Macaca fascicularis: one gene and its partners. The protein of the gene in region 3 purifies or fractionates together with the protein of the main gene of each other region. This does not show direct contact. Links are inferred from orthologs where the notes say so. Each region holds a gene or a part of one and is shown on either strand. Other genes may lie near its edges. The genes, in order: NLRC4, FASLG and CASP8.

Evidence for each region.
Region 1: the proteins of CASP8 (region 3) and NLRC4 purify together in Homo sapiens (affinity purification with western blotting; 3 studies listed by BioGRID and IntAct, with this or other methods). This does not show direct contact. The link is inferred for Macaca fascicularis from reciprocal best matches to the Homo sapiens genes CASP8 and NLRC4.
Region 2: the proteins of CASP8 (region 3) and FASLG purify together in Homo sapiens (co-immunoprecipitation; 8 studies listed by BioGRID and IntAct, with this or other methods). This does not show direct contact. The link is inferred for Macaca fascicularis from reciprocal best matches to the Homo sapiens genes CASP8 and FASLG.

The regions. Positions count from the first base shown.
Region 1 is NC_088387.1:89,939,824-89,943,475, forward strand, and holds part of NLRC4 (NLR family CARD domain-containing protein 4), read left to right. Parts: intron 1-352; coding exon 353-520; intron 521-3,652.
Region 2 is NC_088375.1:30,264,785-30,268,457, reverse strand, and holds the start of FASLG (tumor necrosis factor ligand superfamily member 6), read right to left. Parts: upstream 2,946-3,673; 5' UTR 2,726-2,945; coding exon 2,381-2,725; intron 1,830-2,380; coding exon 1,784-1,829; intron 1-1,783. UniProt on the Homo sapiens protein: Cytokine that binds to TNFRSF6/FAS, a receptor that transduces the apoptotic signal into cells. Involved in cytotoxic T-cell-mediated apoptosis, natural killer cell-mediated apoptosis and in T-cell development.
Region 3 is NC_088386.1:97,051,641-97,055,292, reverse strand, and holds part of CASP8 (caspase-8), read right to left. Parts: intron 2,677-3,652; coding exon 2,538-2,676; intron 2,417-2,537; coding exon 2,372-2,416; intron 395-2,371; coding exon 330-394; intron 1-329. UniProt on the Homo sapiens protein: Thiol protease that plays a key role in programmed cell death by acting as a molecular switch for apoptosis, necroptosis and pyroptosis, and is required to prevent tissue damage during embryonic development and adulthood.

The DNA of each region.
Region 1 (3,652 bases), on a different chromosome or scaffold from region 3:
TGTGATTATGGTTAAAAGAAAAAAAAAAGGAAAGAACTGATTCATACTGTCCATGATTTGCTTTAGAATAATACCGGGGGAATTAGGTCAGGATTAAGCAAGATTGCCCATGATTTAATGTTTTTGAAAAGTGACTTATTAGTATATATAGTTTCATTATATTCTTCTGCATAATGTTTGTATAAGCTTGAACACTTTCCATAAAAATAACCAAAAATTAAGTAGATTCTCATTGCAGATTGAGTAGGCTACAGAGCCACCAAACATAACGATCATTCCTTCCCCAACATCCCTTCGTTCTTCCTCAGTTTTGAGATCATCCAGTCCCTGAACTGCTCTTTGTTTCTTCCAGTTGACAGGCTGAACGTGCTAGAACAGCTCACTGCACTGATGCTGCCCTGGGGCTGTGATGTGCAAGGCAGCCTGACCAGCCTGTTGAAACATTTGGAGGAGGTCCCACAACTCGTCAAGCTTGGGTTGAAAAACTGGAGACTCACAGATACAGAGATTAGAATTTTAGGTAAGTACACACATACCGAGCCAAGATAAATGGATTTGGCCCTTAAAAAGTTCTTGAGTTGGCTTTGCTTATTTTGCCCCCTTATTTTATTTTGCTTCCTCTTTTTTTTTAAATATAAGTATGTCTAAGGAATTCATTCATGTTAGAGTAAGAAGACTTAAAACACCGGCCTTCCTTCAGGTTGTAAGCCCTTTACCTACAGAATTAAATGGAAAGCATTCACAGTATCCAGTAAGATGTATTATATTAGTCATAGTTCTTACTAGCCTTAACTTTCTGAAATTCAGCAACGCCCCTCCCTCCAATATCAGGAAATATTTTCAAGTTACTTATTGGGTATTCAACACTATATATAAAGGTGAATGTAGCTGTATCTAAATAGAGTCACCAAATATCTTTAAATAACTGTAATATTCTCCAGAAACAAATAGATCTATATAAATGACTGAAGGCACCACCAACCTCAGGCAGTTGATGAAAGAAGCCCTCATACTCTCTGCATTAGTTTTCAATCTGTGCATAACATATGGCCTCAAAACATAATGGCTTAAAACAATAACCATTATCTCACAGTTTCTGTGGTTCAGGAACTTGGGAGTTCAGCAGGTTAGCTCTGGCTTGACCTCTCTCATGAGAGGGGCTGCTGGAGGATGTCCTTCCAAGGTAACTTCTCACATGGTTGGCAAGTTAACACTGGCTGTTGGCTGGAGGCCTCACGTCCTCATCACTAGACCTCTTCACAGGCTGTGAGTGTCTGCACAACACGGCAGCCCACTCATTTCTGGTCACTTCTGACATATCCCACTGGTTGCACAAGTTATTCCAATCCAGCATATGGAAACATGAATACAAAGAGGTCAGGCTCATCAGGGTCAACTTGGAGGCTATCATACTAAAGCCAAGGACTTATGAAGACAGCCTCTATCACCTTCATTTCTCTTACAGATTGTCTAGAATGTGTTTAGTTTATGTAACATACAATTTATTAAACTTTTTTTTGTTTTTTGGTTTTTTTAGGCGGAGTCTCGCTCTGTCGCCCAGGCTGGAGTGCAGTGGTGCGATCTTGGCTCACTGCAAGCTCCGCCTCCTGGGTTCACGCCATTCTCCTGCCTCAGCCTCCTGAGTAGCTGGGACCACAAACGCCTGCCACCATGCCTGGCTAATTTTTTTTTTTTTTTTTTGTATTTTTAGTAGAGACGGGGTTTCACCGTGTTAGCCAGGATGGTCTCCATTTCCTGACCTCGTGATCCACCCGCCTCGGCTTCCCAAAGTGCTGGGATTACAGGTGTGAGCCACCGTGCCCGGCCACATTTAAACTGTTTTTAAGTGTAAAAGCTTTGTGGCATTAAGTACATTCATATTATTGTGCCACCGTCACAACATCCATCTCCAGAGCTTTTTCATCTTCCCCAACTAAAATTCTGTACCCATTAAACATTAACTCCCATCTGCTGCTCTTTTTAGAACCTTCTTTCCTGGAGATTCATACCTAAGTCCTTAGGCTGCCCGAGGGTTTGCCTTCCTAATGGTGCTTCAAGTTCTGGATCTTTCCTTCCTTTAATTCCTAACTTCACGTCCATCCACTCCCTCAACCCATTAACTCACATCATTCTGGTGTCATTCCTTCAGGCCCTTCCTCTATTTTAGGTTATACTAGAGTCAGGTGGCTTCTGTGACAGGCTAATTAGCTAGCTGATAAATAATCCCTCTTAGGTAACCTCATACCTTAAGTGAGTTGGAAAGGATGTGTCTTTTCCAAGAGGCCCTTGGAGAATATATAGATTTAGAATTCATGTTGGGGAGGCGTTTTTAGGTTGAGGTTTTTTAGCATCCTTTAAATCTTTAGGTAGCTGCCTACTTTGTCCACTCCCAAGGCTGGCCATTGAGACCAGAGAAGGAGATGGTGTGCTTAATGAAATAAACTGAGCTAGGCAATAATTTGTAATTTGTTATTTGTTGAGACAGAGTCTCGCTCTGTCTCCCAGGCGGGAGTGCAGTGGCTTGATCTTGGCTCACTGCAAGCTCTGCCTCCCCGGTTCAAGTGATTCTCCTGCCTCAGCCTAGTAGCTGGGATTACAGGCACGCTCCACCACCCGGCTGATTGTTGTATTTTTAGTAGAGATGGGCTTTTGCCATGATGGCCAGGCTGGTCTCAAACTCCTGACCTCAAGTGATCCACCAGCCTCGGCCTCCCAAAGTGCTGGGATTACAGGCAAGAGCCTCACCGGGCCCTCAGTTTTTTTAAAAAAAGAATTTGTGAACCGGGCATAGTAGCTTACACCTGTAATCCCTGTGCTTTGGGAGGCTGGGGTGGGAGGACTGCTTGCAGCCAGGGGCTCAAGAGCAGCCTGAGCAACACAGGCAGACCCCGTCTGTACAAAATACTTTTTTAAAAAATTAGGCCGGGCGCAGGGGCTCAAGCCTGTAATCCCAGCACTTTGGGAGCCCGCGGCGGGCGGATCACGAGGTCAGGAGATTAGGAACATCCTGGCTAACACGGTGAAACCCCGTCTCTACTAAATATACACAAAATTAGCCGGCCGTGGTGGCAGGCGCCCAGCTACTCCGGAGGCTGAGGCAGGAGAATGGCCTGAACCTGGGAGGCAGAGCTTGCAGTGAGCCGAGATGGCGCCACTGCACTCCAGCCTGGTCGACAGAGCGCGACTCTGTCTCAAAACAAACAAAAAAAATTAGCTGGGAGTGTTGGCACATGCCTGTAGTCCTAGCAATTTAGCAGACTGAGGAGGGAGACAATCCCTTAAGCCCAGGAGGTTAAGGTTGTTGTGAGCTATGCTCGTGCCACTGCACTCCAGCCTGGGTGACAAAGACCCTGTCTCTTAAAAAAAAAAAAAAGGCAATTCAGTAAGAAGATATAATCATTATATATACACACACACACATATTATACCCACACATATATATACACACATATACATGTATATACACACAGACTACACACACACACACACACACACACACACACACACACACACACACACATATATATGCCCCCAACACTGAAGAATCTACATATATAAAGCAAATATTGTTAGAGCTAAAGAGAGACATACAACCCAATACAACAATAGCTGGAGACTCAACACCCCATTTACAGCATTGGACAGATCTCCC
Region 2 (3,673 bases), on a different chromosome or scaffold from region 3:
TTAGTGATAGGATTACAACATAAACTATTAGTTTCAAGCTTTTGATATGTATTTCTAAAGTGCTCTTCAGAAAAAGTTATAGCAATTTACATGTATACTGGCTGAAACTAATGTTTAAACAGCACTTTTCTTTCAAATCTTTGTCAGTCTGGGTTTTTGTTAACTTTACTAATTTGATGAAAATTGGTGTTCCCTATTTTTAGTTTGCATCTCTTTTCTTATTAGTAAAGTTACTGATTTGATTTCCTTGTGATAATTTAACAATTTCTGGTTCATCTGGGTTGATCTAGAGAAGATAATTGCTTACTGGGGTAGATGGACATGACTCGTCTGGTCATTTGATTTTTAATCACTAAATTGACTCCAGAGAGGAGGTAAAAGATGAATGCTTAGGTACCTATCAGACCAGGCACATTCCACAGGTTTTCAAAATGATCTTATTTGAGACATCCTCCAGAGGCTTTATTTTTCTAGCAAATATTTCCACTCTGCTTGTGTACATATGGACTTTCTAACATTTAAGGATTAGGACACAGACTCAGGGGCCAGAGCTTCCCAACAGTGGCTCCTATAAGAACTTAACAGTCTAGGACAGTAGACAGGCGACTGGGTTGCCTGCAGTAGCCACATCCAGAGAAACTGAAACTTACTTCACTTAATAGATGGCCAGTGCTGCCTTCTTCTTTATTCTGAGTTTCTAAGGATGCGATCTATCTATAGTCTTTGCAGAGGTATCCTGCTTTTCCTCTATTTCTCACTCCATGCTCACTACAGAGAGACAGGAGTTTCCCTACTTCATGAGGCACCAGTCCAGTACCGGAAAGCCCTGTAGGTGACAAGGCATCAAGAGCCTGTGTTCCTTCTAGCCCCAGTTCCATACTAGGGGTCTTGGGCATATTCACCTAATCTGTCTGGCATTTTGTTTCTCTTCCAAAAAAATGAAATGGCTGGACTAGATATTCTAAGCTTCCTTCCAACTCTAAACCTTCAGTGAATCTCATTGTAAATCTAAATCTAAAATTTCAATGAATCTTAGGCTAGTGAAGCACATTGTAAAATCCATCTGTACAGAGCTTGCAAAACTATGCCCTGAAATTTCACGAGATCAGTGTTCCAACATATCGTCTTCTTGCCCTAGCTCCCATACAAAGGATTTTCCTTTGTGATCAAGGGTACCTCATGACTGCCTCTGAAGCTGAACATCCTTTGAATGATGGCTGAAGTCTTCCCTTCAGCTTCTCAGTGACTTCAAGAAAAACCATTCTAATGTACGGAATTGATTAGCCACATTTTAAAAGCTTACATCCTATAAAACATTTTATAAATAAAGTTTCACTGTGATCTCTTTAGAGGCTTTAAAAGAGGAGAGGACGTTTCTCAGAAACATCTGTCTCTGCCTTCACTTCGCCTTCTCTTCCCAGAAGTCATAGCCACTGGCATGTGTGCCAGGACCAGGGTGTCTGTGGAAGGGGACAGGCCTGGAACCACTGCTCAGGGGGCAAAAGTCCACGGTTGTATATGTGTGTCTCTTTCCAAAGTCAAGCGGAAGTGATTTTGAATTGTGTGCCGTGCTCAGCTATATTGATTGTGAGCAATTCAATTCACTTCACATTTTTAAAGCAGCTCAAGGAATCATACTGACCAGAGATTCCGAATTAGCCAGGATTCCTCTCATAGTATACATAAGCCAAAGTGTAGGACAGAATATAAGGCATTCCATTAACATATTTCAGTGCTGAGGATCACCTTTAGGAACTCAATGTACATGTGAAAAAGGACTCACCTATTTGCTTCTCCAAAGATGATGCTGTATGCTTCTGGCTGGTAGACTAGTAAAAGAGAAAGAAAAAAGATGCATAATAAAAATAAAATTATTTAAGCAAAAGAGACAGAATCGTCAAATAAACCAAGCCCTGGAAAGAGAATCCAAATACCTCAGAACTTTTGCTGACTCAGGCTTTGGTCAAGCAATTTTGCTTCACTGTCCCTCAGTTTTGTGATTTGAAATCGTACCAGTATTTTAAGTATTTTCAAGATTTAGTTTGGTCATCTGAACAAATTTACTTCCAAGCAAAACTTAAAAGTTTTGTTTGTTTTTTACTCCTTAAATCACTAGGTATGAGGCAGTAAGTGGTTCAACAGACTGAGTTGACAACTGAGGAAAGAAAAACTGTTGGGCTCTGATTCTTTACAAAATAAAAAATATTCCCTTCACTCCTATGAGCCTCCATTTCTCTGCCTATAGAATAGAATAACTAGAACAACCCATTTCTAAGAAAAAAAAAAAAGGATTGAAAAGCACTTTGCAAGCCAGGCAGTGGGCCCTCCACCCCCTTATGCCTGGTGCCTCCAGGGCACAGCAGTCTGCCAGCAGGCTTACCTCTCGGAGTTCTGCCAGCTCTTTCTGTAAGTGGAAGAGCTGAAACATCCCCAGTCCCAATCCTACCAAGGCAACCAGAACCATGAAAAACATCACAAGGAGACAAAGGCCTGTGCTGTGGTTTCCCCTCTTCTTCAAGGGTGGCAGCGGTAGTGGAGGCAGTGGTGATGGCGGTGGAGGTGGTAGTGGCGGCGGTGGCGGCGGTGGTGGTGGCCTCCTTTGACCAGGCCTTCTGGGCACAGAGGTTGGACAGGGAAGAACTGTGCCTGGAGGGGCCCAGGGAGAGCTGGCACTGCTGTCCACCCAGTAGATCTGGGGATATGGGTAATTGAAGGGCTGCTGCATGGCAGCCGGTGAGTCAGGCCAGCCCCAGCAAACGGTTTTACTTCTCAATCCTGTAGAGGCTGAGGTGTCAAGGACAGGACTCCTGTTGCTGACTGCTCAAGAGGAGGCAAGCTGGATCTCTCTTATAGAGTTTCCATAGCTAAGGGAAACACCTCTGTCTTTCTCTTTCTCTATGTCTCTCTCTGATTCTGCTTCTCAAAGAAACACCCACTCACTTTGCAGCTGAAGCTGAGAAGCCTCAAGAAGCTCAGAGCAAACCCCTGGAAGTTTCCGCCCACAATCTTCTGACGAAAGCCTTGGAAGCCTCAGTTGCTATCGCTGTACTACCCAAACAGGTTGGTAGGCTATGCTCACCTTCCTGGGATCCTGTAGAGCAGGTCAGCATTGGGGTAGAGCCCTGTTGGCGTGAACTGCTCCCAGCTACAGGAGAATGGCCAGTGGGGCTATAATTTTATGAATTATAATTGTATCCTTTTTTATACATTATAATTGTATAATGTTAAGAATTCTACCATGTATACGACCAAAAAACTATTTAAAAATACCAAAATACCTCTAACAAAAATTGTTCAGAACCATATTTTTTAAACTATAAAAATTTTACTGAAATTGGCTCTGAGGGGAGAGACCATGGAGCCATGGCCAGAGAAGTCACTCCCACATTTTAGTTTTTGCAGGAGGAAAACACCTGTTGCCATCATCGCTTCCCCACACACAACTACCATTTACCCTGACCTGCCAATCACCATAATTTACAGGTTAAAAAACCTGCTACACCCTCTTTAGAAATTAGATCAGAGGCTGCAAACAGTGGAACCCACAGAACTGCTTTGTATTTCACAATGTTTTCATTTTCATTGTTTGCCCAGCTTATTTATTTACGTATTTATTTAAATAGAGACAGAGTCTCACTCTGTCACCCAAGCTGGAGTGGAGTGGTGCTATCAT
Region 3 (3,652 bases):
AAACCACTCCCCCATCCAGGCTGGCACGGCTGCTAGAAGATTTGGTAGGAGGCTTCTTACCCCCTCCACCTTCCAACTATTCCAGTATCTTCATTTGGGTCTTAAAATAAAATTTGAATGCATAGAAAACTGAAGGAGTCACGTTTTAAAAATTAAGTCATATTTTTAACTGTTTTTATGTGAATTTTTTCTACAGTTCTCAAAATTTTCAGTAAGTTTTTGCCTCTTATCGGTTTATCTGGCAGCTTAAAAAAAAAAAAAAAGCTAACAAATTAAGTAACTAGAATCTGTAATGTAAAAAGAAAAAGGATTTGGAGGTTTCCATCTACCTGTGATTCACTATCCTGTTCTCTTGGAGAGTCCGAGATTGTCATTAGCCCACACAACTCCTCCCCTGCAAATAACAAAGAGACAGGTGTAGAATGAGACATGGCAGGAAAGGTACACTGGTAATGAAATATGTAGCACATAGAACAACATAAGGTCTTTTTTCAGATGAAAATTCAAGCTGGGCACAGTGGCTCACGCCTGTAATCCCAGCACTTTGGGAGGCCAAGATGGGAAGATAACTTGAGATCAGGAGTTTGAGACCAGCCTGGCCAACATGGTGAAACCCTGTCTCTACTAAAAATACAAAAAAAAATTAGCCGGGCATGGTGGTAGGCACCTGTAGTCCCAGCTGCTCAGGAGGCTGAGGCAGGAGAATCACTTGAACTCGGGAGGTGGAGGTTGCAGTGAGCTGAGATCACACCACCACTGCACTCCAGCCTGGGCGACAGAGTGAGACTCTGTCTCAAATAAATAAATGAAATGAAATGAAAATTCACAGACGGCCATAAATATAATCTCCTTTCAACCCGGAGAGATTCTGCAAGCAGGGCAATTAACATGCTTCTGGAAATATAAGATCAAATTGTCTCCTCGCCAAAGAGAAAAACATACCAAGAAATGCCATAATTTATATTGCTCCACATGGCCAGGTTGAATTTTTGTGGTATTTGTGAGATACTCATTAATAAAGCCACTAGCTTAGGATGAATTAATGATTTAGTACTTTACTCCTTAAAGTATTCTTAAGGAGTAAAGCTTGGGCTCAGCAGGCAGGGAGGAAAGGGAAGGACAGCCTGCGTGGACATTAATCTTTAAAATACATTTGAATGATCCAAAATGTATTTTATACACACACACCACAAAGAGCCAAGGTAAAAATACAATAAAAATATAACCAATATTAATGGAGCGATGGCGTTCTTGGACTTATAAAAATTTATCTGAATTTAAAATCATCTTCAATGAGTATATATAATTTTTCTAATCAGAAAGAATACTTTATTAATTGCCTATAGTCCCAGCACTTTGGGAGGCCCAGGTAGCCGGATGGCTTGAGTTCAGGAGTTTAAGACCAGCCTGGGCAACACAGCGAAACCCCATCTCTACAAGAATACAAAAATTAGCCAGGCATGGTGGCTTGTGTGTGGTCCCAGCTACTCAGGGGGTTGAGGCAAGAGGATCGTTTGAGTCCTGGAGGTAGAGGCTGTGGTGAGCCAAGATTGCGCCACTGCATTCCAGCCTGGGGGACAAAGTGAGACACTGTCTCAAAACAACAACAACAACAAAAGAATATTTGATTAATCAAAATTTCGGAGGAGATCATTGAGAGTTCTCTCTCTTGATTCAGCCTCGCTTACCCAGGTAGAAAAAGTGAAAGGAAGTTGAAAGGAGTTGTTTAGTGTAGAAGGTGTTGACAGAGGAAGTGACTTAACCAAGGAAATTATGAAACATAATTTAAATCCAGCTACTCAGTGCATAACATGAGCAGCACATCAAGGAATAACATGAGCAGCACATCAAGGAGAAAAAAAAAGTCACATAGAAAAAATGATGTTAAATTACTTATGACTGACTCACTCTGCACCTGTTTCAAACTTGCCAGCCTGGGCTGCAGGTCTTAGGAGAGCAGGTGCGGCCGAGCGCGGTGGCTCACGCCTGTAATCCCAGCACTTTGGGAGGCCAAGGCGGGCAGATCACCTGAGGTCAGGAGTTTGAGACCAGCCAGGCCAACATGGTGAAACCCCATCTCTAATAAAAACACAAAATTAGCTGGGCGTAGTGGTGCGCGCCTGTAATTCCAGCTTCTCAGGAGGCTGAGGCAGGAGAATTGCTTGAACCCAGGAGGTGGAGGTTGCAGTGAGCCAAGATGGTGCCACTGCTCTCCAGCCTGGGCAACAAAGTAAGACTCTGTCTCAAAAAAAAAAAAAAAAGTAGAGCAGGCACATTAGGACGTGCATGTGGTAGAAGGCTGTGGGGAGGACACACGCAGGTACCAGAGAGTAAATTAACTAAATCTTGAAAATGTATCTCCAAGCATTACCATTTGAACCTTCCTCAGGACTTCCTTCAAGGCTCCTTGTTCTCTCTGAATTAAAAGAGGAAACCCCCAACAATATTTGATTAGAAACAACTGTGACATGGACAGATTTGTCAGTTTCAATTTTAGAGTAGGTTTTGCCAATTCCCGGCTGTCAGGTCGTTTCTACCTCTGCTGAATTCTTCATAGTCATTGATTATCTTCAGCAGGCTCTTGTTGACTTGGGCACAGACTCTCTTCAGGATGTCCAACTTGCCTTCTCCCAGGATGACCCTCTTCTCCATCTCTACGAAAATATCCAGCAGGTTCTAAGAGGAAGAGAAATAAAGTTGGGAATCTGGATTGAGCCCTACTGGTTTTTAGATTAGATTTTTTTTTTTTTTTAACTTCCACTTTCTCCAACCAAGGACCTGCCCTTGCTTCCCAAGTTTCTGACAGCTTCTGCTGGTCTCTCACAGCCAGCAGGCTACTAGGGAAGCGATTCCATGTTTTCTGGCCCAGAAAGACAGAAATGAGAGGATAAAGGAGAAGCCATGTCAGATGTCACCCAGTCCCCAGGCCCTGTGCTCAAATCTCCTGTGAATGCATTACTTGAGGACTGTAAAACAGCCTGAGCAGCCCAGTCACCATGGTGATGCCCTGGGGATGGCCTCACCCCCAGCATTGCCTCTCCAGACCTGAGTACATACAGACACACAGACACATACATACACACATGCACATACACACACACACACAGATACACACAACACACACAGACTATACTTAGTGATACACACATAGAGGCATAAATACAATACACACTACACAACACACACACAGACACATACCACAAGAGAACACACACACAGACACAGAGATACACAGACACACATACCACTTATACAGAGACACACAGAGATACACATATCACACACAAATACAGACACACACTATACACAGAGAAAGGCACGCACAGACACAGAGATGCACATACAACACACAGACATGCAAAACACACACAGAGACACACAACACACAGAGACACAAAACACAGACACACCACACACAAACACAATATACACACAGAGTTCCAGGTCCCAGGTCGTTTCGGGGACTGCGGAAGTGGAGGAAATGCCTCAGACTCACCGCTGTCTTTCCCAGCTCTGCCGGGTCTCAGGCTGGGCTGCATCTGCACAACCAGCCTCCTTCTCCCGGCCCCTGACTCCGCCTTGCTCCCGGTAATTAACATGAGCAGCACTTCAGTATAGAGGAATCACATCTGTAACACTCGTGCTGACAACT